Rhinolophus ferrumequinum: one gene and its partners. The protein of the gene in region 4 binds, or shares a complex with, the protein of the main gene of each other region. Links are inferred from orthologs where the notes say so. Each region holds a gene or a part of one and is shown on either strand. Other genes may lie near its edges.

Region 1 (8,128 bases), on a different chromosome or scaffold from region 4:
CTTTTAACAGATAATTAGCTTCAGAGCCCTTTCTGAAAAAAGAGGGTTTATCTTGGTTATGATTCCGATCCTACCTTAAAAAAACTCCTCCTTGCACTGAATTTAGGCCTTGGCATTTAACTGCTTCCAACTCCAATCTACTGTGTTAGACAGGGCCAAGCTGAAGCAAAACTGATATGAGTTCAATTTAATTAAACTCAAAAAGTACAAGAAAATAACCTTACAAACAGAACTTTTGACAATACCCCAACAATAGCTCTATTTTGCAAAGGAAGCAACTGAGGCATAAAACTGAAACAGCCAACGCAATGCCCACAATAAGTTAGTGTGAAAGCCAACATATGAACCCAAGTAATAATTTAAAACACTCATCTCTATGATTCCTTCAAAGCCATTATAATTCTCCAAAAAGTAACTGTACACACACACACACACTCACATTTAAAAAATTTTTACACTCATGTTTTGCAAGCTAAATCCACTTACCTGAGTCAGCCTTTCTCTTTTCTCCCCTCTTTTTGGACTCAGTGGGTTCAGGGGTGTTTCTTTGTGGCGGTTCCTCTGCAGGCCTAGCACTGACATCCTGCACATTTGCAGTAGAACTAGACGCACCATCATTAGAAAAGCCATAATTGGCCTGATATGTAGCAATGAAGTCTTCAGTTATCTGAACAAGAAATTCAACACACATAAATTCAAAAATGATTTCCTCCTGCAAAAAGTTTACACTGTGTTAAATTACTGCATATGCAGTTATACAACTTAATACAGAAGTGGGTAATAGTTGTAGTAATAAAGTGTAAATGGAAGAATAGTCACCTTATATACAAAAGTGTGCATACAATGATTCAAAAAATAAGACAGACACGGGTACTTGGATTATCAACACAAAAGTCTGAGCTACTATCAAGGCATTTTAAATGATACTGGCATATTTTCTAGTTGTTTCATTTATAAATTACTACCTCTCCGCAGTCTACTTGATGAAGGCTACAAGTACATATAACAAAGGAAGTACCAGATAACAAAACAGAACAAAAACTATAGTCAACTAGTAATCTAACAACAGAATCATTTTTTTCTTTAACGATATAGATGCACAAAGTGTATGTACATTAAATATTTAAATATCTGCATGCAAAGAGCACACAGAATGGAACTTTGATTTGGTGTATAAAGAATGAGGCCAACAATAGTTAAACAAAATGCTTGTTTTAACTTTATCGTGAATTAAATCACATTCTCATTTAGTGTCATAACAAATTAAGAACAAATCCAACTCACATCTATCCTCCTGGCTTTTGGAGAAAAAAGCACGATTGCACAATGAAAGAAATGTAGTTATATCTTCATACCAATCAATGTTAGACACACACAGGAATGGGAAAAATTTAAACTCAAAGTTTGAAGAGGTCTGAGCCTCCATGACACTAAAAGGTAAGTCACAAATGAACCTATTATCAGACTATTGTTAAAGTACTCAGAAGGCTGAAGAAACCAAATCTGCACCCTAGCTGGCACTACCAGTACAGAAGTGAAATACAGCTGACCCCTGAACAACACAGGGGTTACGGATGCCAAACCCCTCACTCCGACGAAAATCTGTGTATAACTTTTGACTCCCCAAAACTTTACTAATAGCCTACTGTTGACCAGAAGCCTTACTGATAACATTGTCAATTAACACATAGTTTGTGTATGTATTATATACTGTATCCTAACAATAAAGTACCTAGAGGATAAAAAATGTTATTAAGAAAATCGTAAGACAAAATACAGTCACAGTACTGTACTATATTTATCGATACCATAAGTTTATGTTATCTGCATACAAGATGAAAAAAATCTGTGTATAAGTGGACCCACGCAGTTCAAACCCATGTTGTTAAAGGGTCAACTGTGGCAAATGTAAAAATTTGGAAGGAATGCAACACACACACACACACACAATAGGAAAGAAAGAAGTTGAAATAAATAATTTTTAAAGTAACAAATTACACAATGGAGACAGGGTTTGTTATTACAGGCTTGAAAGTCAATTAGTGTGCTATTGGTATCCTTTTTTTCCACCCATATGAGATTTTGATTAACAGGGTACTTTTACGGAAAAGTTTACAGAACCAGGTTTAACACCAGTTATTTTACTTCCAAGCTGAAATAAAATACTTAACGATTTCTCCAAGTACTCTAAATAAATATTCACAGATCTTCTCCAACCATATATTCTGTGCATCTCTAGTCCTATTCCTCAGCCTCCCTAACATAAAAAGGTAAGTCGCAAATGAATCTATTATCAGACTATTGTTAAAAGTACTCAGAAGGCTGAAGAAACCAAATCTGCACCCTAGCTGGCACTACCACTACAGAAGTGAAATACGGTTGACCCTTGAACAACACAGGGGTTAGGGACGCTGATCCCCCTCGCAGTGGAACACCTGTGTATAACTTTTGACTCAAGCAGTGAGTGTGTCTAGGGACAAAATTTAATAGAAAGTAGAGGTGCAAACAAAGTTCAATCAGTAAAGATATACAAATGGCTAGGTGTTTTTTTTTTAATCAAGAAGCTGCATTTGTACGTAGTATACAAGCTAAACACCTGAATTTCTAGGATAAGTGACGTTGGCTCCCTGAGAGTAACAGCGACTAAGTTTGCTCTTGGTGTTTTTCCTTTTTGCAATAAAAAGCAGTCACCAGTGTAATAACCAATTGTGACCTTCACAGATAAAATTAATAAGGCATAGAAAAAAAATTAAGAATTAAATTACATTTAAGACATCTCCCTAAAGATATATGTTCCTTTACACACTGGTTCTGCAACAGACCCAACAACAACAAAAGCGTCACTATCCGTAGGGGCTCCAACTCAGGACCTCGCAAAGAAAACGTACAAGGAGCGCCCCGCAAGGCGGGCCCGCTCTGCAGTGGCACCGGTGGTAACACACTCCTACCTTGGGGAACCAAGCCTTCTTGTCCAGGTCCCACTCGTAGGGGGTGTCACTTGGCTGCTGCACGATAGAATTGGTTTCTCCGCCGAGATCTTTCAGGGTGTCTCCGTCCTTGGTGTCTCCGTACAATTCTTGCATTCTCAATTGCTCATCAAAGTCGTCCTTCCCATCCAAGTTGTTGCTGCTCATGTTGCTGACTTAGCTCAGGGGCAGGGTCCGGGCGAGCGAAGAGGCAAAGATAAGGCTGGAGGAGAACAGAGAAAATGAGGTCTGCAGCTCTCGGCCCGCGCCCTGCCGCCCCCCGGCGCGCCTCCCCGTGGCGCCCCAGCAGCCCCCGGGAGGTCGGGCCACACAGCGGCCGCACCGCCCCCCGATCCGCCCGCCCGCTCGCCGCGAGCGCGCGCGCACGCGCGCGGACCGAAGCTGCCTGTTCTGCTGCGCCGCCGCCCACCTGGCTCGCCCCGCCAGGCCTCGGCGCCGCCGCTCGATCCAGGGCGCGGCGGGAGCGCGCACGCGCGCCGCCACCGCCGCCGCCACCGGGTCGAGGCGACTGCAGGTCCGGCGGCAACGACTTGAGAACGGAGGCCCGCTCAGACTGACGCAGTCGCCATTGATGGCGCGACGAGACGTCGCGGGTCGCGCCGACACGCCCATAATGGCGTCAACAAGCGCCGACGCGGACCTGCGGCGCGAGGCCCAGGGGCGGGGCACTAGGGGGCGCGCGGCTACCACGCACCGGTTTCCGTGCCGGTCGCCTCGGGGCGGTGAGAGCCGCGGAGTGCAGGAGCCGCGGCGGGCAGGGCTGGTGCGGAGCGGCAGCCCTAAGGCGTGTGAATATTCGCACCTGGCAGGCGGGAGTCGGGGCGCCGCCATCTTGGGGTGCATGGGGCAGGCGGAACAGGTTTGTCTTGCGGAGAAAAGGCCACACCTCCTTTGCACAAAGGCTCCTCCTCCTCGTGGGAAATGTGTCTTTACTTCTTTTTCTCTGATTGCTTAGGGTAGGCGCCGAATCTGTTTCATCTTGGTGGCGTAAGCTCCTAGCTTGGGGTCTGATGTGAATGAGTGAATGAGTGAGTGAACGAAGGAGCAAGAGTGGAAGGACTAACCTTTTCCAAACCTCAGCCCCCTCCTTTATCTCTGTGGTACCTTCTTCAGGCTGCAGATGGACTCTGGAAAGGGAGAGAGGGCAGCAGTTAGTTGCCTGCCTCTTGGACTTCATGATTCAGAGGTGCTCAAGCTCGAAACCTGAAACATAAACATCCAAGTGTAAACACCAGCTTTATTGGCCGACTTTTTTTGTTGTTTTTTATTTCTTTTAGAAAGACACAATGTTTTTCCTCTAAACAACTTTTTAAGAAATTGCACATCACTGAAAATGGAGAAGTCTGTAATTTTTAATTGGACGGACATTTATTGAGCTCTTGCTAAGTGCCGGGCACTATACTGGGTAAGCTCTGGCTACACAGCAGTCGACAAGACAGGCACAGCTCAAGGGCGACACACTTACTTGGGAAATGATAGGATTGAAATACTGGATGCAGCAGTTATCAAACTTTCTGGTCTCAAGACCCCTTTGCACTCAAAAGTTACTGAAGACCTCAAAGAGCTTTTGTTTATATAGATTATACTTATCAGTATTTGTCACAAAACAATCATTTAAAAGTATTTATTCCTTTAAAATAATAAACCCATTATATGTAAACATAAAGTTCATAACCCAGACTTGAGGGTGGGGGAAAGAGTCCCAGAAGAAATTATTTCTACTATTTCCTTTGCTTCTAAACATAGCAGTTGAGTAAGGTTCTAGAAAATTCTCACTCCCCAAACACCAGCTTTGTGAACATGGTTTCCACCATAACAATGATTTTTAAATAGTATCTTGGGTTTTTTTTCAATTACATTTCTTTTTATGAAGTTCTTGTTGTGTTGGGAACTAGTGGAGAACTGAACTTGCATGCAGTTTATAATATAGATAACATGAGTTTTATTAGGCTCATTTAAGCATTGCTAAATATTTCTTCCTGGATCCAAAAATAGTATACAGCTGTTTTCAGCAATGTGTTATTGGGTTCCCATTTAATTCCTGAGTGAATTCACAGCATAAGTGATAATATGATACACAGCCCTACTGCATATGACACTCTGAGTGCCTGCTGTATCCGCAGGCCCCTTTTAGTAAGTAGTCAAAAAGGTTTCTTATGCCTGCATCCCATGTGACCCAGCCAACCGGGCCCAAAGGCTTTCCAGAAGCCTGCCTTCTAGACTGAATTTGATGAACTGAGCCAATAAGAGCCTCTCCCAGTGAGGAATGAGTATGGAACAAACAGGGACATAGAGGAGCACAAAAGCAGGGAGGCCCACGTAGGAAAGGTGACTAGCAGAACAGAGGTCTGCTGTGAAGTTCCCCAGAGGTGAGAGGAGAACCTGACATGGACAGAGGGTCACTGAGTCACCATAACAGTGGAGTTGGGAGCTAAGCACACTTGTAGCTACAATAGCATTCTATTTTACCATGAGACCTGACAATTGTTTTTTTAAACAATGCTATTGTCTCTATGAGGCCTGGTTCTTGTTTGTTCTTATTTCCCTGTGTATTCATAGAATTAACTCCCTAGTAATCCCGAGGTAATCTGTAAACGTCTCTGTCTTTGTAACCTGTCTTTTTCAAGATTCTTTTGTAAGTCAGAGAAACACTTAAGGTAACAAGCAAACAGAGGGGACCTTTATTATTATAAAGATAGGGGGTAGCTCCTGAAATTCCAGGACCAGAATGTAGATGGGCCACATCAGGAGCAGCTGGACCCAGTAAGCTGAACCAGTCTTGGAACCCAGACAGCCAGCTTCTTTTTGAATATCTTCTTCATTCTTCTCTCTCTGAACTTTGTAAGCGGTGATCTGTATTGTACTCCTGGCTTGATAGGCCGTGACCTTCCTGGTAAATAAAAATACATTAACTTACAAAAGCAAAGACTTCTTGGCCAGAGAAGTCACCTACCTGGTCTAGGAACTCTTTCTGGAAAATTACTGAGCTATACCAAATGACATTTTTTTTAATGGCCTATTCAAGCTAACTCTATTTGGGAATTTTCCTGTTCCCACTTCCTTCAATGTCAAGACTGAGTGGAAAGAAAAGTAACTCCTTTTGACAAAAAGATTGATGGATCCCTGACCTCAAGTCGTAACTGCAGAAATTCTTAAACCCAAATTTGCTATTTTCAGTAGCTATGCCAGTTAAATATTTTGTGGCACTTTCAACTTCAATGACAAACACTTCCCCATTGGACGTTTTGGTTGTATCTAAGTTTGTGACTTTGTTTTCCTGCTTTATAGCATATTATTATGGTCCATTATTCCCAGTCTTATGAGGTCTGACAATTAAGTTTGCGAACTTGTTGCAAAATGTTGCTAACCTTTTTTAGATATTAGAGGGATTATTCATTATGAATTTGTACCAACTGGACAAACAGTTAACCAATTGTACTATTTGGAAGTGCCGAAAAGGCTGCACGCGCGAAAAAGTTCCTTTTCGCCAATAATTCATGGCTCTTGCATCATGACAATGCACCAGCTCACACAGCACTGTCTGTGAGGGAGTTTTTAGCCAGGAAATAAATAACTGTATTGGAACACCCTCCCTACTCACCTGATCTGGCCCCCGGTGACTTCTTTACCCGAAGATAAAGGAAATATTGAAAGGAAGACACGTTGATGACATTCAGGACATCAAGGGTAATACAACGACAGCTCTGATGTCCATTCCAGAAAGACAGCTCCAAAATTACTTTGAAGAGTGGACTAGGCGCTGGTGTCGGTGCATAGCTTCCCAGGGGGAGTACTTTGAAGGTGACTATCATGCAGGGTCTCAGCTCTCACTCCGCGCACAAGAACGCAGGATATGGTGAGGCCAAAAAGGAACACCCACGGAGCCATAGATAGGGGAGTCTTACCACTACAGTCTCACTGGAGGCTGGGTTGGAGACACAGGAAGCAGGAGACACATGATCCACAGCCTGCCGTCCACTTCTCTCTGCCAACCCACCCCACTTGCTAACTGCAATCCTCCGTGCTAACTGCAATCCGCGCTTGCTAACTCAGCCACCATCTTCTTGCTAGCCCCCATTTTCTGCTAGCGTAGCCACGGCAGTTATATTAGTGGCCAGTGGCTCACTGGTTACAGCTGACGGCCAACTAGCCACAGCTGATGGCCATCCAATCAGAGTTGATGGCCATTTACTACCTGAGCCAGCACCTTTCCACGTGAGGCCGAGAGCCTGGAAACTGCACTCCTGGCTCTGTCCCCACAGTGACTGTAGTGATATTAGCAATGAGGTATGTAGCACTTTTTCTAGGATGAGTTCATGAACTTAATTGTCTGACCTTGTAGATCAGGACAAACCCAGAGCAAAATTGAGAAGTATACAAGATTTGTTCTTCATGTGTCCCAACTCTCTTCATATTGAGGACCCTCTCCAAAGAAATGCAAACTTCTGTAGTAACATTTCTGGTACAACAATAGGCAGTGTGAAAGAAATTGTGGATATTGGGGCCTATTTGTAAGGTTAGTCCTGACAAGGAAAATCTGTTTAAAAAAAAGACCACTCCCTCTAAAAAAATCAAAACAATTCTATGAATTTTAATCCCAATTCTTTAATTCTGGATGGGAGGCTGATGCCCTATAAAACTAATTAGGGTATTAGTTTATATCGGATCCATAAGTCACTTCAGGATTACTTAGAATGTAGAAAATGAAAGTTCTTTGAGCTCTAGTTTAATCAACTGCTAAAAGGCTGTCTTGTAATCTGGTACTTTTACCAAGTTATCTCTAAAATGTTATATCCTTAGGAGAGAAAAGATGTAATTTTTACCCAGAGTAAGGAAAATAATAAAATATTTGGGAGCTTTGTGACTTGAAAATAACTTAAATTTTGGGATTAAAATGGGTTCTCAGTTACATGCTGTCAGAAGTATTGTTTTTAGAATACAAAGTTACGCAGTCATTTGAAACTTTATTTAATATTTATTTGTTTTGCCCTGCTTATTACAATGCCCGACTTAAAACAGTATTAATATAATATTGGCACTCCCCACTTAAGTGAACCAATTTTACAGAAATGTAGTCTAGTGTGACTATATATCCCCTTTTTGAGCCACATCATTAGCAAAGTTCACAACTACACAAGCCA
Region 2 (7,475 bases), on a different chromosome or scaffold from region 4:
CCTGGCATCGAGTGGGTGGGGGCAGGGATGCTGCTCAGCACCCACAGTGCCCAGGACGGCCCTCAGCAGTGCCAGGGGGAGACCTGGTCTACCAACGGCTCTGTGCAGCGGAACGAACATGCTGCCCTTCGCTGCCTGTGGCTGGAATGGTACCAATCTATATGACGCCATCATGGCCCTCACCACTGCTTCTCTACGCCGCTGGGTAATTAAACAAAACCAAACCCCTTACACAGAGAAAACCCGTAAACACATGGGGTCACTGATAGCAGGCGGCCCTGGGCGGGCAGGGGGGACCTGCTGCTCCGGCCCAAGTCCCCCGTTTACAGGTGAGGAAGCCGAGGCCCAGAGAGCTGGGTGGTTGCTCAAGGGTAGCGGTGTGATGTCGGGACCACGGGTCCCCGGGAAGAAAGGAGGCTGTGGGGAGCCCCCTCCAGCCCTACCTCACCTTGTTTATGTCAATGGTCTCCAGAGCCAGCTGCCGGAGACGCTCCCTGCGGTCCCGGTTGCTCTCCGAGGAGGAGGCCACCCCTCCACTCCCGGTCTTGCCCCCGGGGCGATGCTGGAAGTCCATGGTGAGGGCCTTGGGGTTTTATTGGACTGGGGAGAAACCTGGAGAGCAAAGGGGAGAGGCAGTGAGAACCTGGTGGCTGTCACTGGGGCCTCCCCGGGATTGGTGGACGGGCAGGCAAGGAGACCATGCCCCCCAATGTTTGTCTCTCACCCCGCACTCCTGCCACCCCCCCCCCATCCCGTCATCCCTCCATCCTAAATGGCCAGAATAAGCTCCTATGTTGCCAGTGGCTGGCCGGGGTTGGGAAAAGCCCCTGTCCAGACAATATGATTGACTTAGGGAAATCTAAGCCCACATAAATACTCAACCGCTCACCAATCAGGGCAAAACCAGTAACCACTGGAAACCAAAACTGCTGGTTACTCAAAGCCCATTGCTCCCGTGTTGTCCCTCCTCCCCTAGCAGCACCCCCACCCCAAATGAACTGAGAGCTCACAGCCTGGGATGAAGGTCTTTCCACAGGTATCTGGGCTCCTGGGCAGATCAGTTTGATTCTAAGAACTGGAATGAGGGGCCTCTGGCCTGGGAGCCAGGCACAGAGAGGCTGTGGGTGAGGGCCAGGTTGAAGAGGGGATTTCATCAAAAGCTGCCCACTGACCAGCAGGCAGTCTGCCCTTCCCTGCACCATGTCCAAAGGCAGGTGGCCCCGGTCAGAGGCCCCCAGCTTAGGGAGGACTTCAGGAGACTTTTCTGGGGAAGGAGCGCCAGGGAAAGTATTCTCAGACACTGACAGTAGGGGTCCCTCGTGCCCCAAATAAAATACCAGCTCCCTGCCAGGCCAACTGAGCAGTGAGACCCATCAGATGAGAAGCACAGACAGCTCTCACACACAGAGGTGGCAACTTCACGTAACAGACAAAAAGAATCTCTATACAGCTGAGAAAAAAATAAACCTGATGGAAACCTCAATAGACGGTGCCAACACCTTGCCAAGGGTTAGCACAGTGAATTAAAACCGCAACGAACCCTGGGAAAGAAGACAGGGTGATCCAAACAAAAAATTGAATATGAGGGCTCGGAGGTAAGAGTCAAAGACATATCTCATAAGGAAAACAAGAGAAAAAGGAAAACATATGAGGCAGTGCAAGAACCTTGATGAAATTCCAGAGTGAAAACAGACAGAAACACAGAGAGTCTTATCAAAGAAATAAATATTATCAGAGAGCTAACACAAAAGCATTATCAAAACACTGAAAGAAAATGCCCCAGGGCTGAAAGGACCTATTCCTTGCAATAGAAACAAAAAGACTCTCAATAAATGGATCATGAAACTGCACACCAATGAGGAAAATCTTCCATTTGCACAAACAGAAGATCAGAAGCGAAAGGTTAGAAAGCAGAATGGGGCCAGAGCTCTCAGAACTGAGCATGTAAGAGAAGCAATACTCCCACAGTTCTCAACGTAGATTTTTAACCCCGAGTTTTCATTTTATATCCGAACTGTGAGTGTAAGTAAATAAAGCCATTTTCAGGACTCAAAGGGCTCAAAATCAATCAATCAGTCCATCAATCAATTTCTTCAAAAGCTACCCTGCGATTGATGGGCCGATAGGAGGAAGAGGAGATAGTCAGACTGGAAACAAGCCAACCCGAGAGCACTGACAGAACGTTCTAGGACAACTGCTTCTCTGTAAGGTGAGCAACCAGAACAAAGTGAAGCAGGAGTATGTCAGCATTTGGGAGAGACATTTCTATGGCGGAATTTTTTTTTAAAAAAAGGACCAAGTCCTCTAAACCTGTGGAAAAATACAGTCTATCACCGTTTGAGGTGATGGAACTTTGAGGAAAAATTAACAGGAGGAAAAGAAAATCAGGGTAACAGGAAAAATGAAAACATTCATTAGCTTCGGGGTAGTGGTTGGGGGAGAACAGTACAGGAAAAGCCGCACAGATGAACTTGTTACTTGCCTTAGCCACGAAGGATACTTTCAGTCTCAGAAAACAGAACTAATAATTTGACTAAAGCTTGCGATATATAAACGCATCCAGGGTAGGAGGGTGAAGTGGGAGTGGGTGGGAGGCAGAAATACGACCTCATCAATCACGTAAGAAATCAGCAGGTCGCGTCTGACACCAGCACATCCAGAAAGAATGTTTACGGAGATAAAGACGGCTTTAAAAATTGAGCAGAGGCGGCCTCCGGGGCAGAGGACCGAGCAGGGATGAATGCCAGCTTTTGATGAACATACTATTATCTCCTTAAACCTGGCAGACAGTTTATTATCGGGAGCTCCTCTCGCACGTTCTGCAAGGCCAATGGGTAGAAGAAAGAAGCCGACCGCGCATAGCAGTATGAGTGGTGGAAAGTCATTTAACCTCGGGGCTTCGCTGGCGAAATGCAGCCAGCTAACTGGCTCTGGTGGCCTTCGGCACGGCGCTGGGCACTCTACTCCAGGACCTTATGTATTATTTAGTTGCCCTGGAACTGGCGATCGCTGTTACCCCCATTCCAGTTACAGAAACTGAGGCGAAGAGGAACCGAGTGACTCCCGTACCACAGAGTCTGTCAACTAACGGATGCAAATTAATGCTCGGAGGGGTCCTCGGTTACACGGAAGGCGCCATGCGAGCTGCTACCCCGACCCAATCCCAATGGGTCTTTGGAGAATCCCAAGCGAGCGGAGGGCTCCGGGGACCCAGAGGCCCGTCATTCCCCGGGGAGGAGGCGACGCGGCGGCCCGCCCTCAGCCTGCGCCCCCGTCGCAGGCGCCCCTCGCTCACGTCTGCTATCTCCTAGGGAACTCCGGGCTCCGGGGCCGCCGCTCTCGCTCCGCTTTACACCTGCACCGGATGCAGCGATCCCGTTGCCTTTTCAGTCTCCACTGCCGCCACGACTTCGTCCCGCGAACGCGCCCCGCGGGCTAAGAATGCACTTCCGGGGCAAACGGGGCGGGCCTCCCATGTGCGCATGTCCGGCCCAGCCGATAGCGCGAATGAGCAGCTCTGTAGGTGCCAGGAAAGGGAGCGGGACTCCGTGCAGGCTGGAAGCTGAAGTGCGCATGCCCAACAGGCTCTCAATGACCTCTCGGTCGGTTTTACTCGCAGGACCCAGTTCTCGCGGGAAGGAGGGCAGCGACTTGTACCCAGACCTTCCGCCTATTCTTGCCCATTTGGGTGCCACGGGTCGTAGGGGTGTTTTATTTTTTCTATCCTGGGCCTAACACTGCATGATACATATAACAGTCTGTCTTTGACTTTCCCGTGGGCCCCACGAGGGCTCCACTCGATCTCTGCTGCCCCCGGGACGCCAGCGCCCTTCGCCGGTGATTGACAGGATGGGCAGCCCTGGGGCGCGCCGGCGCAGTAGCTCTGGGAGAACTTCCGGGACGTGCCCTGGGACATTTTTGGCGTGAGCGGGGACAACGGCCGGTAGGGCGCGGCCGGTACTCTACGTTCTGGGCCTCGGGGCGCCATGCGCTACAACGAGAAGGAGCTGCAGGCGCTGTCCAGGCAGCCGGCCGAGCTGGCGGCCGAGCTGGGCATGCGGGGTCCCAAGAAGGGCAGCGGTGAGCAGGCCAGGGCCGAGGGTCGGGGCGGGCGGGCAGCGGCGGGTTGGGCGGCCGCCAGCCCTCGCGAGCCCGCCCTGTGTCCGCAGTGGTGAAGCGACGACTGGTGAAGCTGGTGGTTAATTTCCTCTTCTACTTCCGGACGGATGAGGCAGAGGTAGGGCGGCGGGGAGGCGGGTCCCGGGCTGGGGGCTGGGGTCCTAGGGTGGCCCGCCCATTCGCCCCGTCTGCCCCCAGCCCGTTGGAGCCCTGCTGCTGGAGCACTGCAGAATCACCCAGGAAGAGCCCAGCGGCTTCTCCATCAGTGAGTGCGGGGGGTGGGGCCAGGCCGGCCATGACCCCCAACTCCGCCCTGCCCCGTCCCTTCCCAGGAACAAAGTTCAGGGCTGGGCTCCTTCCCTGTGGTGCAGGCTGTGCGCATCCGTCCCAGCCCCTCCCTAGCTGCCACCGCAAGGCCACAAGGGCTTTGTCTTCTCTTGGGGAGCATAGCCCTCGGGTCAATGCTTGCTGTATTTACCCATTTTCAGTGCCGGGCTTTGTGCATGGGACCCCGGAGGATTCTTCTGGGTCTCTTTGAGAGGATGGAGTTTTCAGGGAAGGCCGGAACTTCTAGTGTCCTGGGGCTGCCACAGACGGGGGGGGGGGGGGGGCTTCAACAGCAGAAACTTACTTCTCTCACTGCTTGAGGGCAGAAGTTCAGGTTGGGGTGTCGGTAGGACTGGTTAATTCTGAGGATAATTTGTCCCAGGCTCTCCCAGTTTCTGGAGGCTTGGCAGCTTCTGGCATTCTTTGGCTTGTAGACGCATCACCCCGCTCTGCGTCCATCGTCTTCTTGGCCTTTTCCCTGTGTGTCTGTCAATTCCCCCTTTTTGTAAGGACACCAATCCTATTGGATTAGGAGTCCACCGCACTCCAGCATGACCTCACCTTAATTAATCTGCAATGACCCTGTTCCCAGATTCTGGGAGCTAGGCCTTGAACCTACCCTTTTGGGGGACACAGGTCAACCCACAGCCGGTGGGAAGCGAGGAGCCTGGGCTGGAGGGGACAGTTGTGGACAGTGGCAACAGACAGCTGAAGCCTGTGGTTGGTGGGGGTGGGAGTGAGCAGGGACACACGGGGCCCCTCCCTCTGCAGGCTTCATCGAGGACCCGGAGAGGAAGTACCACTTTGAGTGCTGTAGCGAGGAGCAGTGTCAGGAGTGGATGGGGGCTCTTCGTCGAGCCAGGTGGGGCATGGGCGGCCCAGGGGGCCTGGGGTGGAGGTAGAGCCAGCCCTGTGAACACAGGCCACTTTCTTCTCCAGCTACGAGTTCATGCGCCGGAGCCTCATCTTCTATAGGAATGAGATCCAGAAGATGACCGGCAAGGTGGGCATGGGGCACACGGCTCGGGACGGGGGTGGCTCGTGGCCTGGGGCTCACGCTATGCTGTCCACCCCACAGGACCCCCTGGAGCAGTTCGGCATATCGGAAGAGGCCCGGTTCCAGCTGAGTGGCTTGAAGGCATGAGTCCACGATCAGGCTCCTCACACTCACCAGTTTTGAGGAGCCCCCCCCCCCCTCCCAGGGACCTGGATTTATGGAGTGAGGTGTTTCGGCTTCAAGACTCCAGAGGCCCCAGGCTGCTGAGAGTGGGCAGGGGCTGTGCCTTGGGACCCACCAGACTGGTCCGGCACCTCTTGGTGCCACATGCTGCTGCCGGGGAGTGTTGTGTCTGGCCCCGCGGGCACATCCCTCCAGGGCCTGGCGAGGGAGGCCCGAAGCTCCTGCTCTGTGCAGGCTGAATGCATGAAGCTGGACGATGCTGTGAAGGGCACGGGGCTGTGAACTGTCCTGCTGAGGGCGAGGGCCGGCCCTGGCTGGAGGCCGCTGGGCAGAGCTGGGAGCTTTTGCCCTTGGGCCCGTGTGCCTATTCTGTTCAAATAAAGGTACCTCTTTTTTCCACATGGGTTGGTGGTGCAGTGAATGCAGAGAGGAACATGGATCCTCCACAGGCTGGTGGTCCCAGGCCGTTGGAGCTGGCCCCTGAGGGAAGTAAGGCTCCTGGGGGACAGGTCCTTTCCAGGCCTGAGGTTTAAGTGCCTGGGAAGAAGGGGCTGGGCTGCCCAAATAGAGGGGAGGAGACCCAGAACCCAGAGCCTGGCAAGTCAGGGAGGCTGGCCCCTGGGGCCTCTGGTGCTCACAGGCCCTAAGGTAGGATGGAGGCGGGGGTGTGATGGGATCCTCAGGTGGCCCGTGATCCCACCCATCGTCACAGGGCTTTCCCTTGGGTGCACGTGGGACCTCAGAAAGGGTTCTGCCCACGTCCGAGTCGCAGTTGGTTGGTTTTAGTTCATCAAAAGGGCCGTCCTTGGGGTGCTGGACCTCGTCAGGTATAAGCCCTGCAGGGGCTGGGCCTCCCTGAGGTGGGCACTTGCAGTCTGCTAGTCACAGCGGCTGCTTTCAGGAGCACTGTGGGCCTGTTGGGAGTGACCGTCCTCTGCACTTGGGCCCTCAAGGCTAAGGTCTCACTGTGGTAACCAGGAAGAAATGCCAGCAGACCAGGTTCAAGTGAAAACAAGTCTTTTATTACAGTCTAGAGATGGAAATCAGAGTGCAGTGGGATTCCCGTAGGGAAAGAAGGCCACGCCAGCGCCCCAACTGAGACAGTCTACCAGAACCACAAAGCAGGCAGGGCCCTATCTGAGTTAATAGTCAAGGTTGAGACTGAATGGGAATGATGGCGGGGGTGGCGGGTGGTGGTAAAAGGACAAGAAAACAAATCTCCTACTGCAGACGGCGCGGATAAATAAAGGGGTGAGTGGGTCTTAAATAAGTCACGAGTCATAGCTGGAAGGGAAGGCTGGCTCCTCCTGACTGGGAGGGTCGTCCGACTTAGGTTTCCTGAGCAAAGCGCCCTCGCAGCCCTGGGCTTCCCTGAAGTTGCCCACAGTCACAGCAGCACAGGGTCTCTGCACAGAGACCAGAACCCGCTCCCCATAGGGCCATGCGGCCTCCCCTCCCTGGCAGCCAATAGTGGCCGATCGATCTCCTGGTCAGGAGGGCCTAGGGGCTGAGGGCGGGCACAGACGGAGACCCCCAGTGCTAACTGCTGTGGGGCAGATATGGCATGTCAGTATGAAGTCCACACAAGGACCCCAGTCGTCCGGAAGAGAAGCACTGTTGAGAACGGTTGCTTAGTTCCAGACCAGGGACTCGCCACGTGCTGTGACTTTGCTACTGTCAGCCTTGCAGCTTTTTAGGGGGCCCTGTGCTCCTGACAAGGGAGGGGGGGACATGGGGTTTGGGGTGAGCACAGCACCTTCGTGCACTGACCGGCAGGGAAGGGAGCCAGGGCAGCAGTTACAGGGCAGCCGGTTCCAAGAACCTGACCGAGCACCATCTTCAGCCTGGA
Region 3 (7,677 bases), on a different chromosome or scaffold from region 4:
TGTACGAATTCAGGAGCGCTTGGGGCTAAAATCCACGCGTGAGCCACATGAGCAGAAGTAGCTATGTTACCTGGCCACAAAGCTAGCAGTCTTGTCAACGATATTCCTGACTTCTGGAGGAGGGTAAATAATCCCCACCACTGGCTTGGAAGGGGTAGAATCCTCCTTTGAAGATGCTTCTTCCTCTGTGGGCTGTGAAAAAGAAAAAAGGAATTGAGGTCTCAAAGTTCATGATTTGAGGCTGGACCACCCTCTCCCTTCTCCCTCCCCCCAGGTTAAACCCTTCTAGCATATTTCTGAGAGCATTAGACCTTCTCCTGCAAACTTCCTTTGGGTTAGAACCCTCTTCTTCAGAAGAGTGGTTCTCTTAACTGCATTGTGCTTACATGGGACCCTCCTAGGGAACTAGTAATAAAAAGCAGCTTCCCTGGCTCCCCTAGCTAGACCATCTCAGTAACACCGGGAATCTGTATTTTTACCAAGAGGCCAGGTGATTCAGATGCAGAGAGCTCTGACCACATTCTGAGAAACCATGTTCCAGAATCTAGAAAGCCCCACACCAAGGGACGGCTATATAGCGATTGTTTGCCCAATGAAGAAACAGGACACTCCTTGCTGGCTGCTCCTTCTGCACTGAATACCCTCTCCTCTGTATCCACCCATAGTCTTCACCACTCAATGCTCAAAATGTTTTGTGAAACTCCACTGGAATACTCAACATTCATTATCAATACATTGCAATATTCTTTCCTCACCAGTCTTCCTTTAGTAAACAAAGTGTCAAGTCTCAGAAAAATAGTTTCTCCCCTGACCTCATGTTCCTTTCTGCTGCGGCCTTCTCCCCCGCCTTCCTCCGCTAGCTAAACATCCTGAGTTTTCACAGCCTTACTGTTCCCACTTCCTCACCTCCCATTTGGTCCCCATCCATTTGAAATGCTCTTGCCAAAGTCAAAAGCAACTACCTACACACAGCCCACTAAGCAGTTACCCGACCACGTGATCAATGACCACTCCTTCACAAAACTCTCCACTCAACTCCCAAACCCTGTTCTCGCCTGTCTTTCCTTCTTGCTCAGCATTCCATCCCAGTCCTTCCTGGTTTCTGGTTCCCCTCCTGCGCTATAATGGGCACCCCCAAAACTCTGTTCTTGATTCTCTTCCCGGTATTCACACTGTCCTCAGGCCAGAACTCACAACCACATCCTCCATTTCCCCTACCACCTCTAGGCTGAACAATCCCGCCCAAATGAATGTCCCGAATCACTTGTGTGCTAGAGCTTTAGATCCACTTGGCTCCTAGGTACTTTCAACTCTATCCTCCTTCCTCATGAATGGCCAAGCAGGCACCTGGTCAACCAGGCCAGAAACTTGGGCCTCCTACCCCTTCTTCAACCTCCACATTCAGTGACAGTAACATTTATCGAGCAGAGTAGGTGCCATATGCTTTTTTAAGCACTTTAACTATATTAACTCTTATAACCCTTATGAGAACCCTGTGAGGTAAATACTTTAATTATCTCCATTTTACAGATGACAAAACTGAGGAATGGAGCGCTTAACTGGCCCAGATGGCAGCAGAACCAGATTTCCAACATACCACTTCGGCTGGAGAGCCTGTACTACAAGCCGTTTTGTGACATGAGCTTGCCAGACCCTCTGCTCACCCCCAATGTAGCCAGGCCCTCAGCATTTTTTTTAAATAAAATGACGAATCCTCCATCCTCCTTGCGAAGTTCTTTGTATCACTGCTTATATACCTGAATTTCTGAAACATGAATGTGTCATTATCCTGCTTAAAATCCTTTTCTCCCCATTGTCTACTTGAAGTTCAAATCCTCTGAACCGCATCTCCTGCCACCGCTTCCCCAACACTGTGCTTCAACCACACTTATTTACCTTTCACCAGAGGCACCATCTGATTCCTATCTTGCTGTCTTTGCACTTACGTGGTATCACTTTATTTTTCCCCAGCGACTGGGAAAATGCCAGGACACACAGGTGCCTAAATATTTGTGGAAAGGGTATGGACCTATCAAATATATGGTGATGGAAGGAGAACTGACTCTGGGTGGTGAACACACAATGGGATATAGAGATGATGTATTACAGAATTTTACACTTGAAACCTATGTAACTTTACTAACCATTGTCACCCCAATAAACTTTAATTAAAAAAAAAATTAAATGTGGGGAAAAAAAGGGTATGGACCTCTTCTGTCATGTTCCCCACTGTAGTCTGAACCCAAAGCAGTGGTCAGCACACAATATGTGCTCAATAAACGTTTGCTGAATGAATAAATAATGCCATTTCCCTCCCCCAATCACCTCCCTGCTGAACTCCTATTCATCCTTCTAAAAGCAATTTACCTCGCACGCCTGTGGGCTTCACCTACTTTAATCTCCCCTCCACCCGGTCAAAGCAATGGTCATTAGATTACTGTCTCTCTTGTACCTGAAATTTGTTATAGGGCAAATCACAACATACTGCAACTGTTTATGTACGTCTTTCTTCCTCGGTTACCTGAGATGTTTTTAAGTTCCACTCTGTTATTTACAGTGATGGGGCACTAACCATTTGTTGAGGAATTAAGTATATCTGTATCCCCACTAGCCTGTGAGCTCCCTAAGGGAGGAGTTGTGCCTCACTCATTCCAGTAACTTGGAAGCCTGGCACGGTGTCTGGTTTAGGCTAAGCACCGAGTAGATGCTGAGAATTAACATTCAGAGCTGTACCCCGCAGGCTGGGAAATCAGGGGTAACTGGGCAAAGGCTGGGAGCCGGTGGGTCCAATTGCCACAGAAAACCGGTGGATGGGCTGGAACAATGTTTCTCAAATTTTAATGAATCGCCTTGGGATCTTGTTAAAATGAAGATTCCTATTAAAAGACCTGGGGTGGAGACTCCGCATTTCTAATAAACTCCCAGGTGATGCTGACGCAGCTGGTCCGCAGACCACGCTTGGAGAATCACTGTCCCAGAGCTCGGCTCGCTACTGGAGGGCAGCGCGTTGCCTCCTGGGACTTGCAGTCCCTCGAAGCCCGCCTAGGCGGCCGCTTCTTCCTGCAAAAGTGAGGAGCGCCCAGGCCTAGGCTCGGGCTGGCGGTTGAGGTGAAGGGGGCACGGTACCTGTTTGGGCTCGGTGACCACAGGCGGCGGCGGGGGCACCGCCTGCACAGGTCCAGCCGGCATGACTGCGACGCTCAGGGTTGCCAGTCCGCCTCGGTGTAGGTGAGCAGCGCTGCGTCAAAACGGTGCCCGCAGCGCGAGTACGACGACCCCGCAAGATGGCGGCGGCCGAAAGAGTCGCCGCCGAGGAGACAAGGCTGACGCACTTCCGGACCCGCCCCTTCACCGTGACGTAATTTCCATGGGAGTCGCCCTGCGAGACGCCGTTGCCATGGCAACGGTCGGGGCACACGGCTAGAGTTTGCCGGGTTTCACAGAAGTGGCTGGCATGCCAGTCAGTTCTATGAGCCGACCAGACACAGGGGCTGAGGCTGCGACGCCGGAGACGGGTGAGACGTTCTATCTACATCACCTGCCGGACGCCTCCCCATTTACTCCACTGGCACACCTTTCCTTTACTCCACTGGCCATTTCCTCGCTTCCTCCGACCCCGCCTTTCAAGGCCCCAGCTCCCTCCAATTGGTCTCTCACTTTGGAAAACCCCCTCGGGCCCTCCTCTTCAAAGCCCCACTTCCTTTCTGCTTTATCCCCCTCTTTCGCTTCAGGCCCACCTCCCCCAAAGCACCCTCCCAAGTCCCAAGCTGTAACTATCTCTGGTCCCTTTTCCCGTGGGTCCGCCTTTTCTAGATTCACTCCCTGCCTTCCTCAGTCCCGCCCTCAAGTCCCACGGACTGTGTCAAATTGGGGCAGCTGCTTCAGATTTCACCCCCTCGCTCCCCCTTGTACCTCCCTGTAGGCTACTTTCCTCGCTTCCCTGAGGCACTACTTGAATCCCGCCCTTTTTGCTTTCTCTCCTCCCCGTACCCTCTCCCCTCCTTTCCAACTCCTGAATGCGGGCCAGCTCTGAGGCCTTGTCTGGACTTCAGTTTCCTCACCTGTGAAATGGGGGCATGATAGGAAGAGATGCCCTCCCAAGTCTCCTCCCTGTCTCTCATGCTCTCTCGCACACACACCTCATAGCTGTTTTATGTCATTGTTGTTTATTATTAATGTAGAATCATAATGATATCTAGAATTTATTGAACATTTACCATGAGCCAAACCCTGTGCCAAACACTGCATGCATGACAACAATTATTTCTTATAGCAACTTCTTTTCAGATGAGGACAGTGAAGCTCAGCGTTGGTGGAGTGGGAACCCAAACCCAGGCCATTCTTACTCCTTTACTAGTACAGTTACTTATTCCTTTGTCTTCACACGGTTTTTTCAGTGTCCCCAGGGATCCAGGCAATTCACAGTCCTGAGTCAGAGACTGACAATTGCCATATACATGGTTTTCCAGGGGTTTTCATGGTGGTGACCTTGAATCTCAGCAGGTGCATTGGTGGGGAGGTAGGCATAATCTTTACCAGAGGGGTAGGGTCCTAGGGCTCAGAGAGGGAAGAGGCTCGAATGTTGAATGGGAATGGAGGAAAGGCTCCCTCCCTTCTCTGTGAATGAGAAGTCTACCTTGAGCTTAAGGGAACTGAGGAAAGGCAGTTAGCTGCCCCTCCTACCTCAGGGCAGTGTCGGCTCAATTAGTACCATCACCTATGTGACCTCAGGAACTGTGCAGGGCTGGCAGCTTCAGACAGAGTTTCACTCAGCCAGGAATTAGAAAGCTGATGTCAAATGCTCCTACACTTGACACACACCTAAGTGGTTCTCAAACCATGCTGATATCTGCAAATCCCCAATGTTCAGAAGAATTGACAGGTAAACTTGGCTATTTTTTAATGTCGCAGTTTCGTCTTACATATTCTTGCTTCTTTGGCATTTGCTGGTGCTTATCAGAACTGGAATCTAACAGGAGTTGGTATCTTAGATGGCCTCAGATGGCAGATAGAGTTATTTGAGGGTGAACAGGTCAGTGTTTCTTGGTGTCTTCATAAGCAAGCTCCTGAGTTCCAGCGCCTCCTTCCAGGGTAGGGTTTCTTGCTTGCTTTATTTATTCCCATCCTCCCTTTCCAAAAAGGAAAACCAGGATGTTTCAGTCTGTTTTTTTCTGTCTGTTTCTGCCTCATTTCTTGGGGACATAAAATCTCATGGGTGGCAATATCTCACTAGAGGCAGTCACCACGGCAACATATATGTATGGGATATGGGCCTGTGTGCGTGCGTGTGTGTGTGTGTGTGTGTGTGCGTGTGTGTGTGTTGTGGGGTAGATACTCAGGGCCCTGTGGGTGAGACTGATAGAGCTGACACACCCATGATTCGCTCCCTGAAGAGACCCTCAGATATAGATGATGGTTCCTCGTGGACAGGGCTCCATGTGCCTTGCTCTATCCCTATTCTTGACACAGTGCCCAGGATATAGTAGGTACTCAGTCACCGTTTGCTGAATGAACACACAGGATCTGGCCCTCTACACCTACACTGTGCAATACCGTGGCCACCAGCTCATGTGGTGGCACATTTGAAAATGGTGGCTGATCCACACTCAGATATGCTGTAAGTGTCAAATGGACACTGAATTTTGAGACTCAATGCAAAACAAAATAAAAATTAAAAAAAAATTTTTTAATCCCCTTAATGACTTTATATTGATTTCATGTTGAAATGATAATATTTAAATAAAATATTAAAATTAATTTAGCTGTTTTCTTTCTTTCTTTCTTTCTTTTTTTACTTTTTTAATGTGGCCAGTAGAAAATTGGAAATCCCATATGTGGCTTCATTATATTTCCTTTGGACAGTGCTGCTCCAGCAGCAGCATGGCCTGAGGACAACAGAGATGTTGGACTCAAGAATCCCAGCTCCCTGAGTGAATTTAGGCTAACCTCCTAACTTTCCAGAGCCTCAGTTTTCTCATCTGTATAAAGAAAGTGGCACACAGTAGGGAAGTGGTACACAGTAGGGAAGTGGTACACAGTAGGTCCTGTGGTCAGAACTAGCACGGTTGACGGATGCTGTCTATGTGCAGTTTCAACTCAGGTGACCCCACCTGCCTTTTCCCTCACCCCATTCATCCAGCCGGGAACACTCTCCTTCTTCTGGGACAGCCTCCTCCCTGTCCTCCAATAAGCTCTCCCTGAGTGATCGCTCATTCACTTTTGCCTTCATCCATTCCCAGGGACCCAAGAGCTGTTTGGGGCCAGCCCTGCACTGGAGACAGGAAGCCAGGTACCTGGATGAGCCTCTGACCCTGAGCCTTAGGCTGGTCCGAGAGTTGGGCAGGCGCCCGTGCAGACATCCAGCTCCATAGGCAGTCACCTACACAGAGGTGAGAACAGGGCACAGTACTCTGGGAGGCCAGAGAGGCCAGCTCAGCCCTCGGGAGCTACCCCTGGGTACCTCTGAGTGTCCCAGCACCTGTGGGCACAGGCTGGCCCTCGGGCCCCTTGGCCCAGGTGGCCAGGTGATACCCCAGTGAACTCAAAAGACAGTCCATGCGCTTGCAGGGAGACAGACTGCCCCTCACAAATAATTACTCAAATAATGATTCAGTGCTGGTGTGGTGAGTGCTGGGATAGAAAAGAACAGGATACTCTGAGAATGTGTAACGGGACTTTACCTGGCCTGGGGAACTGAGGGAGGTATCTTATCCAGAGGAAGTATGGGGGTGGGGGGCGCAAATTGTAGGTGGGGAGAAGCTGAGGTCGGGGCAGACCACCCAGGGCTCGAGCCTAGGGAAGCAGTCCAGTCTTTATGTTGTAGAAAGCCATTCAGGGGTTCTAGCTGGGGTAGGAGTTGCCTTTTTAAATAATCACTCTGGCTTCATATATAGAATGTGAGAGGTGGTGCTGGGCAAAGGGAAGAGGGTGACCCCTTGGAGGCTGTGGTAGTGGTCTGGGGAGATGGTGAGTGTGGAGCAGTGTTGATGGACAGAAGTGCTGGGTTCTCAGCATGCTTTGGACATGGGATTGGCAGCACTTGGTACTGGATGTGGAAGTAAAGGAAGGGGACTCAAGGAAGTGCCCAGGTGCGCTCAGTGGGGGTGCCATTTTCTGAGATGAGAGAGATTGGGGGGTAGAAATAGGTTGGAGGAAGAGAGGTGTCATGGTCAGTCCTGGACTTACTGTGGGCCCAAGGGGCCATGGTCTAAATATTGCCCAACGGCCCTTGCCAGGAGGGGCTGTGGTGCAAGGAAGCACTTTCTGATGCTGAGAAATGCACAGGGTGGGGAGGGACCAGTACTCAGCGTCCACAGGGCTGCCTGGCTCTGAAGAGAGGGCTGGCTCTGACGGCAGGTGCCAGAGAGGAGAACCCCCGAGGCGTGCAATGAGCCAGAGGACGGGCTGGGGCAGTGTCACTTCTCCACCTTCTGAGTCAGGGGCCATGGATGGTTCATCCAAATCTCTGTCTTCAGATGTCCATAGACTCTAAAGATGGACAAGAAACAGGCTGCATGGGCCGCAGGGGAAAAGCGGAAGTACAGAAAGCCGTGGCTCCAGACTAGGGTGACCTTTGCTGTCGTAGCTGTTAGTAATAGTCATCCCAATAATAATAGTCACTCCTGCTGGAGAACTTGACTGAGGCCTTGCCCTGGACCAAGCACTTGACTTGGGGAC
Region 4 (8,514 bases):
TGAGCTTTTCCCTCTTGCCTGAGCCCTAGTCACCTAATTTCAACCGCTCAGGGGACACTTCTACCTAGATACAACAGCACCTGAAAGTCTACACATATAAAAATTCAATTTCTACTGCGGATGGGTTATCTCTTTCTTCCTTATTTCTATCAAGGGAATAAACAATTTTCCAGTTACGCAGTCATGAAAACTCAGAGTAATTGCTGACCCATCCCTGTCCACTTCTCCTATAGCCACGACTTGTACCCTCCCACCCCCCGGCTGCAAATTCCTTTGGTTAGCTGTGCAAGATGCTTAATGGATTCTAGATAATTGAGACACAATCCCTGCTCCTTATAATCTTATAACATTGTGGGGCACTTGTTCATTGTCATAAGATATGATAGGATCATAAAGAAAGGAAAGATTAATTGCGGGCAGTAAGACTAGGAAACATATTTCATGGGAGTTGGCCTCTGGGCTGAATCTTGAAGATGCAACGATCACTGGAAGTGAGTAAAGCCTCTTTGTGTTAGTTGGATCCTCTAGGTATCAGATTTCAAGACAGTCAGGAGCACAAGCAGTTATTTTTTTTGGGGGGGGGGCTGTGTGTGTGTGCATAACCCCCATGAAAGATAAAACGGTGAGGAGGATTAGGCAGGGAGAGCCTAGGCCACAATACAGATAGGACAACACCTTGACCATCCCAATGGGGAGCTCTGGAGCAAAGAATATTCTTAAGAAGAGTCTCACATTGGGTAGAAATAGCCAGGCTATAGTATGCTCATGGTGCTTCATCACTGGTTTGGGGCTGCCCAGAAAGAGAATGGGCTTAAATCTGAGAGGGAGCTTCAAAGAACTGGAGTTGCAAGATGTTGACTAACTACGCTCCTTGCAGCTTAATAGCAAGTTCTTTTTTGAAGGGACATGTGAGTGGCACATCTCCATTTTTTTCTTTTTTATAATTTTATTATTATTATTTTTTTAAATGAGTCTCTTGGGGTGAGCGGTTAGCTCAGTTGGTTAGAGCGTGGTGCTAATAACACCAAGGTTGCCAGTTCGATTCCCACATGGGCCACTGTGAGCTGTACCCTCCTTTAAAAAAACCAAATGAGTCACTTAATTTAGTTCCCTTTTCCTTAAACCTTTCCTTTAGTAGGCTCTTAGGCAGGTTTGGAGAAAATTTTTTTTGAGGTCATACCTCATTTGGGTGCTTCCGGTGGAATTCCTTTATTTGCTTGAGTCTATTATAGAATTCAGCAAACTCATTGGGTCCTGAAATGGCATTGAGCTCCTCTTTTCGTAACCTGCAATTTCAGGAAAAATCCAAAGAACATAAAGCATAAAATCAGTCTTTTAACTATGGCTCCTCAGAAGCGTTAACTCTTGGTCTGGCCATGACTGTCACTTACCCATCCTTATCGTCATATAAATCCCTCAGGTTCCCACTGACTTCCATATACCTCTGAAAGGCAAACACAAACCCATGAGAACGAAGCAATCTGTACAACTACAGAGCTAAGCAACCAACGAGGGCTCTCTAATCAAAGAACAGGAAAACCATGAGCAATGTGGTATTAAGTAATTTTAATACATAGCACTGCATCCTGGTTAGTTTTTAAAGATTTGAAGACTACCTAAGTGATGTAATTTGAGGGGTGGCAGAGTCCCTGTATTTACATGCTGATATTTAACTGATACTTAATTTTCCCTAGAAGAGTCATAAAAGCGAGCCATAGGTTAAGCAGCAGTTGCCATCTAAGACCTTCAAAGATAAAAGGGTAGCCCAAGATGATTTTTCACTACTTCAAAGAGCTTGACTGAGGAGTGTACAGGCTAAATAAAACATCACACAGCCTCCTTTGAATTCTAATTCAGGACGGAACAGATACATAGTGCCTTCTCCAAAACTTCTGGGACAGATTTGTTTCAGAATTTGGAATTTTCAGGTTCAGAAAGATACTATATATTATGTAAAATCCCTAGTGGAATCTGGAACAAATAGTAATAGTTCTGCAGTGAAACCCACGCATTATTTACCAAGAGGGATAAAGGCCATAAAAAGCCTCTCTCATCTGTTCAGGTCAGGTTTTGCTGCCAAATGAGATCAAGTTAGATATTGCCAAGTAATACCAAAACAAACAAACCAACAAACAATGAACTGTTTTCAGAGTATTTCGGAATTTGGATATGGAACTACAGGCTTGTCATACTAATTATCTCCTACAAATCAGGAACTCTGATTAGGTGTTTTATTACTTTCTAAACAAATTTCCAACATATGCAAGAGTAGAGAGCTGGGTATAACGAACCTCCATCTACCTATCACTCAGCTGTCATGAAAACCAACACTTTGATTTTGATTAGTTTTCTAAAAGGAATCAAACTATTACTAAGCAAATCACACAACGTAGGCAAAAATACTTCACCACGATGCATCCTCTTGTGGAGAGAAGACCGGACCTTCAGCGCCAGTCACTGACTCCTTATAACTATTTTTTGCACATTCATGGGATAGGATGCTGCAAGGGGCGCCTTTCTGAGTTATTAAGAATCAGTAAGAATTCCCCATTAAGATGAGTGAGAAAGGGCAGTTCAGCATCTTCAGGCTTAGCAGCCGCCTGGACAGATAACCCGGGGCTGGCCAATCTTGTTCTTTTTGACCAGGGCTCGTGAGACCCCCCACACCTCGCCTTCCTTCTCTTTCTCAGCTCATCCCGACCCAAAGAGAAGAGGACAGCGAGGCACTCACATCTTGCATGGCCCGTGTGCGGTGGTCAGAATTGATCTGGTCCCGGAGCTAAAGAAAGGCAAACGGTGACACAGACGCCGTTAGTCGGAGTTTTGGAGTTGGATAGGCCGCCCGAAGGCGGAGCTTACCCGCTCAGGTCTTAGCGGCTAAAGCAGAGAGGCCTAGGGGCGCTGGACATCGGAGGAGGTTACCAAGACCGGAGAGGGAGACCCAGGAGGCGGCGGGGGTGAGGGGGGTGGCGCGGGGCGGGTCTGCGGCTCACAGAAAGCTCTCAGACAGTACACACGGGGATGGGGCCCAGCCGCAGATGGAGCCCCTGCCCAGGCCCCACTCACCGTGGACTTCTTAGTGAGCATCTCTTTGGCCATGACGTCCATGAGCCGTTCCTTCTCCTCGTGATATCGCCGTTGCTGCTCCAGAATCGTCTCCATCTTCCCGGCGCCGCCACAGCTCAATTCAGACCACCGACAAGGCCGGAAGCGACTCCTGCCGCCTTGCGCGCCTGCGTCCCCACGCAGCGCGTCCGCCGGCACCAAAGTTCCGCGGTGCCGGAAGTGCCTCCGTGAGCGGAGGGACGGTGAGCACCGCAAGGCGATCCAGTCTGTGCTAATGGAGATGGCAGCAGTGCCCCCTGCTGGCCCAGAGTGCGGTGGCGTGATGCCGGTTGGTTTGCAGGTACCTACCTCTAGGGAGCACCCAGAAATCCAGGAACCCGACTCTGCCGCTTCCTGGGCTTCCTGAGGAGTTGATGAAGAGCGCGGAGGGGAGTTAGCGGACCGGAACTTGAGTCCCTAGCTCTCATTGTGACTTCTGATAATGTTTTCCCTTTCTCTAGACCTCAGTGCCCTTGTCAGTAAAATGGGGATGATGGTGGTTTTGAGTTGTTTCTTTTGTGGACGAAAGGGGATTCTGTACTAAAACTGACAAGTCCAGTGATAGAAGGTAACCTCAGAGAGTGATCTTATCATAAATTCCTAACTGGATAGGTAATGCCCCAGGCAATATAACTTTTTTAGTATCAGTAAAAGGTTTAAACAAATCCTGTCCATTCTTCTTGTGCATCTAGGTTAACATACCTTTGAAATACCAGCGGAATCCTCTTTTTCGGACCCGTCTTGGTCAGCAAGTAATCAAGGGCTATGCAATTGTCAAGGACCACATGAGCAAGGGAATCTAGGAACTTTTGCTGGGCAGCAATACTCAACCTTTTCTTTGGCTGAATATTCCCATGGTGGCAGACAAATTCCTAATCATATTCCTATTGAATATATTCTGGCACTCGGGCTTAGTATGCCAAGTTTACCTTGTCCTATATTGTCATCATAACTGGCCAGCACTTCCCCTTTGGGTCCCATGATATGCCTTTGGTCCTATTGAAATAGTTCATTGTTAAAATAATTTGTCTTATGGAAGGGGGGGTGGTGCTTATGAATGGGTAAAGAAGTGACAAATTGCTCCAACAGGCAGAGTCCTTCCATTTGCCAACTGTTTAAACATTGATGTGCCCATCCTTTAGTCGGGAATCTTCTCCTATACCGAAAATAAAATGAACTGTCCTCCCTGAACTCTCCTTTGTGGATTCATTCATAGGCACAATTGAGAGAATTTTTCCAACAAAGGATAAGACTGTTTACGTGCTTTACAAAATTCATTGGGGTCGTATCCAATGGAAGGAACAAGTTTACATAATTTGTTTATATCTTTCTTTTCAATTTTGTCACGTAGACATTTAGAGAAATTCAGTGGAGATGACAGGGGCAATGCATAATGATAAGCAGGGGATAGATGTCTCTGGTTTTTGAATAATGTCTACCTGAAAGGTGAAGTTGGATATGGGTTGGTCTGGGAAGACAGTGACATTGGGAACAGTATTAAAATTGGTAACTGGAGCAACTAATGACAAGTATTGTTCTTTTATTGATTTAGGGATTTGATGACATATCCAATAACCAGTTAAATTTCCTCCCTTAGCAGCACTGTGAGAGAATTTTACTAAAATATTATCTTTCCAAGCATTAGAGAAATGAGGGAGTAAAAAAAAGGAGAACAACTGGATTTGTTATCATGTTGATAATCTTCCCTAAAATACAGGGTAGCCTTATAAACAAAGATCAGCAAAAGATAAAGACAAGAAACTCAAGTTAAGAATCTCTGTAAGGACTGATGTGTTACAGGCCGGGTCCAGTTTCTTGGGAATGGTTATCTGCTTCTTCTCATCCTGTTGCCTGGCTTTTGGTTAATTGGAGTTTGGTTTCATTGATGGGCTGGGAAGCCCATTCAGCAACAGGGTCTGGGACCTTTTTTAAATGAGAAATGTGAATCTATGAGTCAACTTCTTGTAAGTTAACAGCACATGGATTTGTCATAAGTACCTGATAAAGCACTTTCCAGTGGGGCTGAAGAGTCTTTGAGTTGGTGTCTTTTCCAATACACAAATTCCCCCTGCTTGAGGCTATCAGAGCACTCCTCTGTCTTCCAGAAGCACACTGTTGAAAGACTCTTTAACAAGGTTAGTGTTATTTTGTAGGGTGTTGATAAACTCCTTGCAGTAATGTAGGTGATCACCTTTGATAAGTACCAGCCAGTGCAGTCCTTCATCTAGGTTCATAGGACAACCTGTGATAATCTCAAAAGGGGAAAGTTTATGTTTTCCAGTGGGGGTAGAATGAAGGTTAAGGAGGACCAAAGGGAGGGCCTTGGGCCAGGCAGACTAAATGCTGTGTAAATTTTTGCCAGTTGGGTCTTTATTATTCTGTTGGTTTGTTCTACAATCCAGAGGGTTGAGGATGATAAGCACAATGGAAATGCCAATAGATAGATCAAATTTTACAAATGTTTTGAATAATTTATTCAAAATGAATTTGTATTATTCATTTTACAAATGTTTTGAATAATAGGATGAGTCCTTCGGTCAGTGTGAAGGTCTTGAGGGATTCCCCAAATTGAATATTAGAATAATTTTTTCTAATAGGGCCTTAGCTACTGCCAGGGCCATGTCTTGATGGTAAGGGAAAGCCTCAACCCAATGTAAAAATAAACAGATCATGACCAGCACATATTTATAACCGTATGAGAGAGAGAGTTGGATAAAGTCTAACTGCCATACCTCAAAAGTCCCTATTGGTAATGGAGGGCATGCAATAGTTTCCCAGGGTTATATTGTGGACAAATTTTGTATATCTGATATATCTGGTGGGCAATAGTGGGTGAAGGGCCCAATAATGTTGTTTTTCCCACTGGACCATTTTCTTAGTGTTCCAAGGAGTTAATGAATGAAGGTTAAACTCTCCTTTCGGAGACCGTTGGGGAAGACAGTACTGTTATTAGGGCCTACCCATAAGTGTCAAAAAGAAGGAAAGGAACAACCTTGTTTACTATGTTTCCCCCTTTCATCCTCCACAGAAATGGTCTGAGATTTAGCTAGTCTTTGGTATAGGTGAGAAACTGGAAGTAAAGCAAGAGCAGATGAAGTTTTTATACCGTAGGTTATCTCCTGTAAAGTGGCCGATTCGGTGGTGGTATCGGCCATTTCATTTTCTTGTGCCTCCATATTTTGGGCAAAAGAATGTCCCTGCATGTTAATAATAGCTAAGGCTCGGGGAGTCAGTGTGGCACCTAGGAATGACAGGACATAGCTTTACTTTTAGTTTTCTGTCCAGATAAAGTCAGGAAACCTCATTGTTTCCGGAGCATTGCAAAGTCATGGGTTATTCCAAAGACATATCTGCTGTCAGTATAGATATTGCAGTTTTATCTTTGGCTAATAAACATGCCTTAGTAAGAGCATATAGTTCTGCCTGTTGGACATTGGCATCAGGTAGAATGCCAGGTTCTATGATTTCATTAAGGGACACAATGGTATATCCAGTTTGGTAATTGCCATTGGGTCCCTTAAATAGGATCCGTCAGTCAACCATTCATCGTCTATGCTTGGAAGTGGGGTTCCTTGTAGATCCAGTCATGGGGTAAGGAGTTGGTCTGTCAATGTAATACAGTCGTGAGGGGTGTTATCATCTGGAAGAGGAAGTAAGGCAGCAGGAGTAAGTAAGTTGCATCAGGGAAAGTAAGGTAGGGTGAAGACAGAAGGAAGACTTCATATTTGGCCAGACAACTAGCAGGAAGATTTTGAGTATGATGGGAACTAAGGATAATTTCAACAGAGTGTGGAACACAGACAGTAAAAGGAGATCCCATAGTTATCTTCTCAGTAGCCTTACAAAGCACATAAACAGCGGGTAAACAGTGGCAACTGCCTTAAGGTAAGGGGAAAGTTCTCGTGTGACTGGATCTAATTGCTGACTAGCATATCTTATAGGCCTGTTCTGCCCTCCAGGAGGCGGAGTAAGAACCCCTTAGAGCATTCCCCTGACTTTCATGAGAGAAGAGGTGAAAAGGGAAGTTATAATTTGGATGCCCTAAGGTCCCAGCTAAGATAACCTGGATTTTTATTCTTTCAAAAGATTATTGGGCATCAGAGGTCCATTGTAGGGGATCACGAGAGAAATTCTTGAGTAGTTCATAAAGCAATTGGGACATGAAGCAAAATTTAAGAAGCCAGTTCCAATAATAACCTGCAAGTCCTAAGAACCCTTGAAGTTGTATTTTTGTTTGAAGGAGGGGGGAGTTTAAAATGCCATGGTGGCATGATGGATCAAGATTTAATCCTTCTGGAGTTAGGAGGTGTCCTAAGAATTTAATGGAGATTTGACAAAATTGGAGTTCCCTTTAAAAATCTTGTGTCCTTTGGAAGCTAGGTTATAAAGTAAATGGAAGCTGTCAGTGAGGCAAGCCTCTTCAGAAGGAGAACATAAAAGTAAATCATCAATGTATTAGAGTAAAGTGGACCCACATCTGAAGGAAATGGTGGCTAGAATCAGCCTTAAGGACTGAGGAGAAATAAGTCAGGCTTTCTGTGTATCCTTGAGGAAGAACAGTCCAAGTAAATTGTTGGCCTTTCCACATAAAGGTAGAAAAATAAATATTGGCTGTCTGAGTTTATTGAAAAATGCACTGTAGAGATCAGTAGCTGAAAAGTATCTGCTTTCAGAGGGAACACTGGAGAGCAAGGTGTGGGGGTCAGGAACCACGGGCTGTCAGAAAACGACTGTATGATTTACGGCTCTGAGGTCTTGAACAAATCACCCCCCTCTTCCATTGGGTTTACAGATAAGTAAGATGGGGGTTGTACAAGGGCTGGTTCTAGGGATAATTAGGTGATTTTTTAAAAGTCGTCTACTATAGTTTGTATTCTGGCCAAGGCCTCAGAGTTTAGGGGGTATTGTTTAATATTGGGGAGGGGATTACTGGGATCTATCTGTATTTTAATTGGGTGTTAGACTGTGCTGAAAGGCTTCTGGGCAGCCCTTGGAGAGCAGGATGTATATTGTTGATGAGGCCAGTTGAATAAATGGGGATTTAGGCGAGAGCCATCTCAGAGATAGGATCCCCTGGTGAAGATAATTCAAGTATCATTCCCTTTTGAGAAAAAGGAAATATGGGCTTGGTAGGTTTCTTTAAAAATCTCTTCCCAGGTGGTGTATGTGAGCTGATGGAACAAGTAAGAAATGATGGTTACCAGTAAGAGTTCTCAACTGAAAAGGGGTAGGTAAGAATGTAGGGTCTGTCACAGGTTGGTTGGCTACCCCAACCATCTGGATAAATTCAGAACTCCAGGGAGAGGACCCTGAAAGCTCGTTGGAGTTGAGAAGAGACAGGGTAGCTCCAGTATCAATTACCACTCTAATCAGTTCGTCCTCAATTTTTACATCTAATTCACCTAATTT

The links.
Region 1: SF3A3 (region 4) and HTATSF1 share a complex: the UniProt entries of both Homo sapiens proteins name them as parts of the 17S U2 SnRNP complex. The link is inferred for Rhinolophus ferrumequinum from reciprocal best matches to the Homo sapiens genes SF3A3 and HTATSF1.
Region 2: SF3A3 (region 4) and SF3A2 share a complex: the UniProt entries of both Homo sapiens proteins name them as parts of the SF3A subcomplex of the 17S U2 SnRNP complex. The link is inferred for Rhinolophus ferrumequinum from reciprocal best matches to the Homo sapiens genes SF3A3 and SF3A2.
Region 3: the proteins of SF3A3 (region 4) and SF3A1 are in contact, whole or in part, in an NMR structure (PDB 2DT7), measured with the Homo sapiens proteins. The link is inferred for Rhinolophus ferrumequinum from reciprocal best matches to the Homo sapiens genes SF3A3 and SF3A1. Residues at the interface, in NP_006793.1 of Homo sapiens: Glu80, Phe81, Glu83, Phe84, Tyr85, Arg87, Leu88, Ile91, Lys92, His95; in NP_005868.1 of Homo sapiens: Ala161, Phe162, Asp165, Val166, Leu169, Thr170, Phe173, Asn177, Phe181, Gln184, Leu185, Lys188, Phe195.

Annotation. Positions count from the first base shown.
Region 1 is NC_046284.1:19,785,003-19,793,130, forward strand, and holds the start of HTATSF1 (HIV Tat-specific factor 1), read right to left. Parts: upstream 3,135-8,128; coding exon 2,949-3,134; intron 668-2,948; coding exon 487-667; intron 1-486. UniProt on the Homo sapiens protein: Component of the 17S U2 SnRNP complex of the spliceosome, a large ribonucleoprotein complex that removes introns from transcribed pre-mRNAs.
Region 2 is NC_046301.1:61,018,451-61,025,925, forward strand, and holds the start of SF3A2 (splicing factor 3A subunit 2), read right to left. Parts: upstream 3,450-7,475; 5' UTR 3,296-3,449; intron 613-3,295; 5' UTR 575-612; coding exon 449-574; intron 1-448. Other genes in the region: PLEKHJ1 (pleckstrin homology domain-containing family J member 1), read left to right, coding at 3,987-4,080, 4,170-4,237, 4,318-4,384, 5,218-5,308, 5,386-5,449, 5,525-5,590. UniProt on the Homo sapiens protein: Component of the 17S U2 SnRNP complex of the spliceosome, a large ribonucleoprotein complex that removes introns from transcribed pre-mRNAs.
Region 3 is NC_046308.1:19,547,628-19,555,304, forward strand, and holds the start of SF3A1 (splicing factor 3A subunit 1), read right to left. Parts: upstream 3,290-7,677; 5' UTR 3,190-3,289; coding exon 3,127-3,189; intron 193-3,126; coding exon 71-192; intron 1-70. Other genes in the region: CCDC157 (coiled-coil domain-containing protein 157), read left to right, coding at 3,455-3,515. UniProt on the Homo sapiens protein: Component of the 17S U2 SnRNP complex of the spliceosome, a large ribonucleoprotein complex that removes introns from transcribed pre-mRNAs.
Region 4 is NC_046292.1:26,530,359-26,538,872, forward strand, and holds the start of SF3A3 (splicing factor 3A subunit 3), read right to left. Parts: upstream 3,260-8,514; 5' UTR 3,163-3,259; coding exon 3,067-3,162; intron 2,780-3,066; coding exon 2,732-2,779; intron 1,445-2,731; coding exon 1,392-1,444; intron 1,287-1,391; coding exon 1,181-1,286; intron 1-1,180. UniProt on the Homo sapiens protein: Component of the 17S U2 SnRNP complex of the spliceosome, a large ribonucleoprotein complex that removes introns from transcribed pre-mRNAs.